Schizosaccharomyces pombe: one gene and its partner. The protein of the gene in region 2 interacts with the protein of the main gene of each other region in a pairwise test. Each region holds a gene or a part of one and is shown on either strand. Other genes may lie near its edges. The genes, in order: tts1 and ubp1.

What was found.
Region 1: the proteins of ubp1 (region 2) and tts1 interact in a two-hybrid assay, tested with the Schizosaccharomyces pombe proteins (one large-scale study listed by BioGRID).

What each region holds. Positions count from the first base shown.
Region 1 is NC_003423.3:4,366,574-4,370,541, reverse strand, and holds tts1 (tetra-spanning protein 1), read right to left. Parts: upstream 2,201-3,968; 5' UTR 2,154-2,200; coding exon 2,094-2,153; intron 1,995-2,093; exon of another isoform or gene 1,908-1,994; coding exon 1,128-1,907; 3' UTR 726-1,127; downstream 1-725. Other genes in the region: COG complex subunit Cog3, read right to left, coding at 30-431, 474-542; arg41 (argininosuccinate lyase), read left to right, coding at 3,775-3,968. UniProt on the Schizosaccharomyces pombe protein: Required for the correct positioning of the cellular division plane by delimiting the actomyosin ring assembly at the cell equator.
Region 2 is NC_003421.2:888,773-894,155, forward strand, and holds ubp1 (ubiquitin hydrolase Ubp1), read right to left. Parts: upstream 3,544-5,383; 5' UTR 3,440-3,543; coding exon 3,120-3,439; exon of another isoform or gene 3,062-3,119; intron 2,895-3,061; coding exon 665-2,894; 3' UTR 509-664; downstream 1-508. Other genes in the region: mrpl31 (mitochondrial 54S ribosomal protein mL60), read left to right, coding at 86-433; U1 snRNP-associated protein Luc7, read left to right, coding at 3,948-4,742.

The DNA of each region.
Region 1 (3,968 bases), on a different chromosome or scaffold from region 2:
ATAAGTGGTATGCAGCACGCTCCTAATACCTCATCTGTACTAAGGTTCTCACACATTTCAGAGAATTCACTCAGCTTTTTTTCAGAACTTTCAAACTTTTCTTTCATTGATAACAATGTTGACTCAATGTTATTAGTCTGACCCAATATCTGATCAATAATGTTTGTAAACGTTTGAAGTTCATTAATTTTTTTTTCCGCGTCTTGCTCAATAGAGAAAGTAGGTCTAGAAATTATCCATATGGGGTTCATCTTTTCTTCAAATGGAAATAACGACTGCTTTTCTACGGTTGAATTATTGGGATTAGGCAGAGAAAACGGACGTGCCGGTAAGCTTGAAGAATCATTTAAAATTTCCGTTAAAGAGTCGCGTCTTTCCTTAGAAATGGAATGCACTGTTTCGATATTTTCAAGTTTGGCGACTTCGGGTAGCTAATTGGGTAAGCCCTTGTAAAAACATTTATCTAAGCTTACTTTTATATCATTTTGAGTTTCATTATCCTCATAGTTGACAGCAGGATAAAACTCCAACTGATCAAACATCGTTCAAAATAATTACGATAATCAGAAAAACATCGAGCACTTTGTTGGTGTTTCCCAGTGAACCATAACACAGCGCTACGTTACTTTGCGCAGATGCTAAGAAACAAAACGCATTAACATCACATAAATTCAATTGAAACTGGTATTTTATCCAATGTAAACTAATAACTTGCTAGATTTCAAGAGTGCGCTGCTATACATGTGTTTATTGTGCTACAAAATTCAATAAAACGTATTATTTTTACCTCTTAATCTTTTAATACTCAAAGAGTTTTTGGATAAACAACATATATCCATATTTCAATTTCCTTGAAAAAAGCTAAACTAAAGTCTGAGGAGACCCCCCAAACAAAGATAACTGAAATAGAGGAGTAGTGAGCAAAAATAAATAAACGGAATTATCTCAAACAAGTTTTTAGAGAAAGAGGTAAACGGTATGAACATTCAAAATTTACTTGGGTGAAATAGAAACTACTCGTTAATAGTAAAGAACTCAAAAACCAGGAGCACTTAGACATATTAAAATCACACTGATTGGTGAAATTTATATAAATCTCTAGCAATCAAAAGGAATAAGGCATCACTTTAAGTAGATGAGGGAGCAGTGGTAGAGCTTGATGCAGTGGGACGGCTTTGAGCAGTACCTACAGGTGAAGCACCGAACTTGGACACATAAGTTTTGAATGTATGCCAAGCATTTTTGATAACAGGAGGAACTCTGTTATCTGCAACCAAACGATCCATTCGAAGGCTAACGGCTTTAATGGATGCACGAGTAAAGTGACTATTAGTGTATCTCATGCGAAGAAAGAAAATATAGCCCACCAACCTGGAAATTGAGTTTTTACGTAAGAAAACCCCAAAGAACAAACGGAACAATAAAAATGTTTCGAGAGAAGCAACAAGTTGCATAGCAGGTTGAAATTGGCTTCGAGTGTACTGATTTAGCAAATTAGAAACACGAGAAGCATAAGACGCAGTTTTCGCGTCAGAAATATTAGGGTAAATGGCAGGCAAAAGCACACTACGCAAGTAAGTGGAGATGTGGAAAGTGGCGTAAATGGCATATGGAGCGAGAGAAAATAGGATGGGACGATCAATCAACATTGAAAGAGCTAAAATAAAATACTGAACATTGTCATCGAGCATAAGACGGGCAAAGAAATGCTTATTCCAAGAAGCACGGGAAGTCAAGTTTGGACTATAAGTTTTGTAAAGGACAATTGCATATGCAACGATGGCACCAAAGGCAGCGCTTTTAAACAAAAATGGAGGAGCGGAACGAAAAGGGATTGCTTGAAGAGCATACAAGACGGAAGAGATTAGCACTATTACTTGCCCCGAAAACCAAACAAACTGGGTGTTCTATAATAAACGGTTAGTAATGTATTAAAAGAGTGAAGACAATATGACACTGAATCAAAATAAAATAATGCTGACAAATTAGTCTATGTTTTAGTAATAGATTACAGTTACGTTATGGAACTAAATAAGAAACTTTTCTTATAATCAACATTTATTATCTGATTTACACATGATAGATATATTTACCTTGACAACAGGTAAAACCCTTTCTTTTAAAGGCTTGACAACTCGTTGTTTTGGCTCCATTATAGCAAAGTTGTTATTTTCAAAGTTTTAAAGATGTGGCTTTTGTTAAGTTAATATCCAGCAAAAAGTATGTTGTAATAGTTGTGATAGAGTACAATGTACGCTTACCAATGGAAGATCCTAAATTTTCCTACATCAGAAAAAGAAAACCTATGGAACTTCTGTGAAATACGCTAGTACACGTTTTGACTAGAATTCTTTTAGCAGGAATATAAGCGCTTAAAAAAGGATTTACGCCTTTGAGTAGCATTCAAGCTATTACAATTAAATAGATTTAAATAGGGGCTACACTCTTTAGTTTTCTAAAATCCAATTGTTTAAGTCTAGCAGACACTCCAGAAAGCTAACATAATTCATTTACGACCCTTGATAACAATGTACAAGAAGCTCTGACTAAAATTTTTCAAAGTGAAATGCTAAAGTACGATGTTGTTTGTTACGCTATCTGTTCTATGTTTTACATGGAAACAATAAATGGATTAATTCTTGCACATTTACTAGTGGACAATAAATGGTTCAGATTCAACATTACTATATCACACTTGTATTGCTCGGCAACCTTCAATAACTTCTATTTAAAAATAACTAGCAAGATCTAAACTGGCTCTAGAGTATTCTCGAAGATAACACTTTGTGGATTCCGTTTTGAGTCCAGACGTTCTGTTAACAACATATCCATACGTAAATTGTTAAGTTATTTGTTGGCGAAGACGAGTACTATAAACGAATTTTGAGAAGCTTGGTATAAGTAAATGTTAGACTGTCGAAGTAATACGCCCTATATGTGTTCATGCCAAAAGAAATCAATAATATAGTTGACAATTTGAAATGCAGTGTATAATTTAAGGCAGTAAGAGACGAAAGTAAAGAGGGAAAAGGAAAATCATGTACTGTTATCACTTTATTCTTCGTTGATTTTCTTCTTCTTTATAATCCCACTATATTTGGTGGATTCATAAACTCGGTTGGTCCATGTTTATTTTAATTGATTTTCGTTAGCTATCTTAAAAGAAATTGGGCGGAAGATGCATCATAATGTTTAAACCAGTTTAGTCTGATCAGACACTAGTAAAAACGAGAAAACAATACTTATCTACCAATGAGTTTTCAGGCATCTATAAATATCGTTCTAATAAAAATCGAAAAAACAATCACAACTAACAAGAAAATCTTTTAAGAATTCTCAATCTTTATAACAGTCAATTTTCTTAAATCTAAGCTAATGCTCGCGAAATTCTTTGGTAGCTCTGAGTTAATAAATCAGAAAGACAAAACAAATCATTCAGGTTGAGTACATTTATACAGTAAGATTCCAACCAAAGCTTCCATATATGATATCTTTTGTAAACTTAAGGAAAGAAATAACGAAGCGGAATGTAAACATTTATTAAGTGTTTATACGTTCCAATACGTTAGATCTTATTATAGCGATTATAATATCAATTTCATATCTATCGCCGTATCGTTAATGTGATATAACAATAGGTTGCGATAAGGAAGAGGTTACACGGTCATATAGCCATACTCTCAAAAGATTAGATAAATTAAATTTTAAGTAGTACTACCTCCTTTTTGCGTTGGTTGAAAACTTGAAAAACTGACTCTGTTTTAACAATTCTGAATGGCTTCTTCACAAAAACTTTGGGGCGGTAGATTTACTGGCGCCACTGATCCCTTGATGACAGCTTATAATGAGTCTATTCATTATGACAAGCGCATGTTCAATGCCGACATTGATGGCTCGAAAGCTTATGCTAAGGCATTAGAACAACGCGGAATCATTAGTGCTGATGAATTGGATAAAATGTTAGATGG
Region 2 (5,383 bases):
TATCACCCAAAAACTTAACAAAAAATTTTTATTTGCTCTTTTTGATCCAACCTTCTTCCTCTCCTTTTGATTTTATACGAAAAATATGCTGGGTGCATTTAACTCGACTTTGGCTCGCTTTGGCGGTCTTGTTCATAAAGTACCTTGGAGATTATCCCAGCGAAGAAAATATCGTCACCGTCAACGACTTCGTGCCGTCGATGAGGTGGTAGATGTTTTGCGCACGGCGTTGCAAGAGAAAAATCAATCGTGCAAACGAATTGAAAGTTTCGTTGCTAACCATCAGCCTGAATCCCAAATGTCACCAAAGGATAAATACACTATGTTTACCAGGAAGACTCAAGGTGCCGGTCTCCAAGGCTTCCGCAAGGGTGTCCATAAATCACCAAAATGGACCCGTAGTACTAATCGTGTTAATCCCACTGGCTTTTAAAAACGTCTGGTTGCAAAAGTTTACTACTTTTTTTTTCATAATTTTAATGCTCTATGAATAATAAATGTAATGGATTATTTTAATAGCTTATTTTATTACTTTTTTATTGCAAAAACTCCCACCTCTTCCTCGTCTTCGTTCATATTCAATTTCCAGTTTCATACATATTCAAACAAACGACATTAGCCTTTAGTTAGAGTAAAGTTCATATCACCTCTATTATACGTCTCTTTAATTCTTTGCTCTGTAAAACAATACATAAGCAGACGATGTGACAATATCCTCCGGATCTATTTCACAAATAGCTGTATCATCAAACTTAAAGAATGTTTGGCTCGATGCATCTCTTGCATAGGCAGTATAATGACCATTACTCATAAACCCGTGATGATTGTCCACTGCATACAAATCGTAAAGCATCGATTTCTGTGACGATAGCCACTCATGATCTTTTATAAATGGACTCAAAAATTGCTTCAAATTGAGATCAAATACTGGATAAACTACTAAATCCCTTCGTTTACGTCTTCTCCGCAAATCTCCACCGTGGCCGCTGAATCGATTTAAATGAATGACTAGTATTTTTGGCAATCGCCAGATCTCCAGCCGTTTTGTTGCCGGTCGAAATGCCTTACACCCAGGACAATACCAGGAATCCTGTAAATCAAGCTGCTCTGGCTTGGAAAACTCCAGTAAACAATCTTCAAGGGTGATGGACTCCATATGGAACTGAATTTTTTCAAATATCCATTCGCAGTTATAAAATAACTTTTCATATTGTTGATCGTTCCATAGACACATAATTACAGTTTTGTCGTCAATAACGATTTCCTCTTCCTCCACTATTTCAAACCTTTTAACCTCAATTTCCTTTATGCATTCCCATTTCCCGGCCTTACTTTCCATCCGCTTCAGTCCAAGCTGAAGAGTTCCGATTGCTACGTCTATGCCTGCATAAACTCGATACAGTTCGACAATCTCTTTCACTAAATCATTTGTGAGTACATTTCGAGAACGGACGTTGAGTTGTAAAGGAAATCCAAACACATCGTTAGACTGGTATGATCCGGGCATTGCCGGTCGTTTACATCCATGGACGATAGGTATTGTTAATCCGTTTGCAGTACTTCCATAAAGTACAACATGATCCCATTTATGAATTTTTTTAGATATTTTGTCTTTATTTTTCAATACCTTGTACACCTTTCCCCGATAAATGTCACAAGCAGTAAGTTCCCCGCATTCGAGTCCCATCTTTTGAAGCTTTTCCGTAGCTTGAAACTTCATTTGGATTACCGTACTTTCCATGAGAAGCTCCAAATACAATTCCACAGGACTCTGTGTGCCAAATGGCGGGACGTACACTACCTTGTGTCGCCATTTTGCACTAGTAGGAAGTGGAAGAGTAAGATACATGAACGGATCAAACGCAGTTGATTTTTGATAGCATATGGAGCACTCTAAGGTGCTTTTATACATTCCTTGAAACAACTGAACAATTATGGAATCATTTCGTTTTGTATGAATATCCCAACATTGATTTGCAACTCTCTGAACATGTAATGGGTGTTCGTCAAATAAATCTGGCCTTTCAAAGTATGGTTTTATCTGAATTCGATTCAAATCTTCGTGTAACCCGTCTAAGAAAAAGGCGATGAATTCCTGAGAATCTTGCTGACGATATCCAGAAAAATAGGTATTAAACTCGCCAATTATAAATTTGAAAGAACTAGGTGACACCGAGTGCATATCAGCAGTATGATGGATCATCTTCAGTAGACTAGCATAAGACAAGGCAACTTTCCCCATCATTCCCAACGGATTGTTGTAATTAATATCCTTTTCATAAGAATCACTAAGAAAATATTTTGTAAGTTCGTGTGTATGTATCATACATTGAAGGGCAGAATTCATATAGCATGAATTACCCAAATTGTAAAGACCGCAGAGTCCGATTTCTTTATTTATTGTTAAATTTTGCTCTTTGGTTATAGAGTCAGATAACCACTCTCCGTTAGGATGTTGAAACTCGAGCAATAAGCTTCCATCGGCAATATCTATTTCGAAAATAGTCATGCAAACAGCATACTCGGAAAGCAAAGCAATCGCAGGTTGATCATTGAACTCCGACAAACTTACAAACCTAGAAGATAGATTACTTTTGTTTAGATACCATAAACGGAAAGAAGTACCATCAGATATTTGGAAAGCTTCCATCACTTGTTTGTACAAAGACCGAAGGGTATCACTTCGGGAAAAGCTAAACGCATAGGGTTCATCACTATGATATGGTTCATCAATTTGGTATAATGGTGAATAGCTCGTGTTTTCACCGTTTATTGGGTCGAATAAAACGTGCAAAGTAAAGTTTATAGGATAGATATCTACGAATGGCTTTTGCTCAGCAGCCAATCCTACCAAAAGAACTTTTCGCTCTATAGCTAGACCTTCTAATCCAAACCTATATTTGAGTTAGCTAATAACATAATGGGAATTGAAAAGAGGCCTCAAAATCCAAGGGAACCTATATATTTAGGCACCGTGGGAAGTAATGCAAACTACATAAATTAATGAAATATTCAAAACTAAGACACAATGCTTTCAAAACATATATGAATATGAGTTTTGAATTTAATTAATAATGCCTTTTACAAGTACTGTAGAGACCTTTAAAGAAAATTCATACCACTCAACAAGCATATGCCATAGCGAAGCAGAGACAATGCTATAATCAATAGATTCCTCCAAAGAATGTTTAAGCTCGTTTTTTTCATCCAGCAGCCTCCATTGAGTTATAGGACCAGGGTTGTCGCCTTCTCCATATATAAAGTCAACGTATCCTTCGAACCAGTCATAGTCAATTAAAAAGGCAGTTTTTTCTTTTTTCCATTTTTCTTTATCCTCTTTAATTAAATTTATCGAATCTTGGAACGGCAATGAAGCAGGTTGGTCGATCCAAATTTGGGAATATCGAGTGCTTGCGTTTTGAGTAGCAGTTGATGCCATTCTCAAAACATGGTCATTTATTCGTTATATTTTTGTTTCTTCAAGTTCCACTCTTATAAATTGCAAAAAATTGGGGGAATGGAGTTGTTGGTTTAAGTAAACTTGTTGTACCAAATGGTGAAAAAGGATTTATACAGGTGACGCATATTGCTGCCCTCTGTCAAGTTTGAGTTTTCAACAACAATTTGTAAAAGTTGATCTAATCGAAAGAATAAAGTATCAATATATTGCCTCGTCTATATTTAACGATTTAGAAATAGCAACTTTTGAACTTTTCCGGGAAATTTTTTTTTGAATTTTAACCCAACAAGCTACTCAAATTACATCTCAATCAAATTTGAGCGATTGTAAACTTTAATTTTGATTTAATTGTGAATAAAGGAAAAAATTCTTTATACTACTTGTAAAACCTAGTGAAATTTTCTATTCATTTTACAGCGTTTGTCGAAAACCCACAAATAGGACATCAGCAGAGATAAAATTACATTTTGCCGAAAATACACTTATTATGGCCGCTGAACAGAGGAAAATCATAGAACAGTTGATGGGCAGTAATTTGAGTAACTTTACCTCTCGAGGCCTAGTACATTTCACTGATCGCAAAGTTTGCAGAAGCTTTTTATGTGGTATTTGTCCTCATGATATATTTACAAATACTAAAATGGATTTGGGGCCTTGTCCAAAGATCCACAGTGACAAGTTGAAGTCGGATTATGAACGGGCTAGTTATTCACATGACTATGGCTACGAGTGGGATTATCTGGAAGACCTAGAAAGACATGTTGATGACTGTAATAAGCGTATTGATATTGCTGAAGCTCGTAGAGAAAAAACAAAAGAGGAGGAAGAACGGATAGATGAGCTAATGCGAGATATAATACATACCGACCATTCAATTGAAGTTATTATTACAGAAATGGAGGCGCTTGCAAAAAGAAAATTAGTGAATGATGCAGTTAAACATTTTATTGAGCTTAATAGGTTGAAGACATACAGGAAAGAATTATATGATGAAGTGATTTCCATGAATGAAATTCCCAGTCAGGCTAGCACAACGCATCAAAAGCTACAAGTATGTGATATTTGTAGCGCTTATCTTTCAAGATTAGACAACGATCGTCGTTTAGCTGATCACTTCTCAGGAAAAATGCATCTTGGATATGCCATGCTGCGAAATATTGCTAGGGATCTTCGAGCTCAATTAGAGGACCGTGAAAAATCCCGTGATAAAAAGGACGGAGAGAAACAAAGAGATAATTTAGCTTCTTTTGAAGATAAAATCTCAACTTCCTTTGTTGCATAACCTACATTTCGTAATGAAAAAGTGGAGGATCTCAACTAACCGCCTTTATTCGCTTAGTGATGCCTTTTACGCAGACCTATATAGAATCTTATTATTATGTTTACCTTTTTACGTTTATGGTTGTTTCCTTACTTGCTTTTTTACAATATTCTTCATGTCATGCACAAAATAAGTGTACCTCTTATATTTTATATTCGTTTATTTCTAATCTCACAAGGTATATTGATATATGTATTTCAATTTGAATAACAGCTATAAGTATATCCTTAAAATAAAGCAGGAATAAACTCTTTGCCTTAATATTGTCGTACTAACCCAACCATCCTTACTTGTCCTTCAGCAACTGTTTGTTTTGGAGAATCTGAAATCGAAAGGAGTCAAACTATTTTACTAAATTAACTTTTTATTTTATTTTGTATAGATATCCTTGAAAATTCTGTGATTCGAAAGTCCAGTGGCAATGTAGAAGTATTAAACGTTTATCAACGGTTCTACCAAATCAGGGCCGATAAAAGAACTCTCGATTATAATTTACGTTTAATACAATCATATAGAATAAATAAAAACATAACATAGTACTTCCAACTGTAAATTGACTTGCGGCTTACATAGTGTTTTTTGGCATACTTGTGCAAACTACC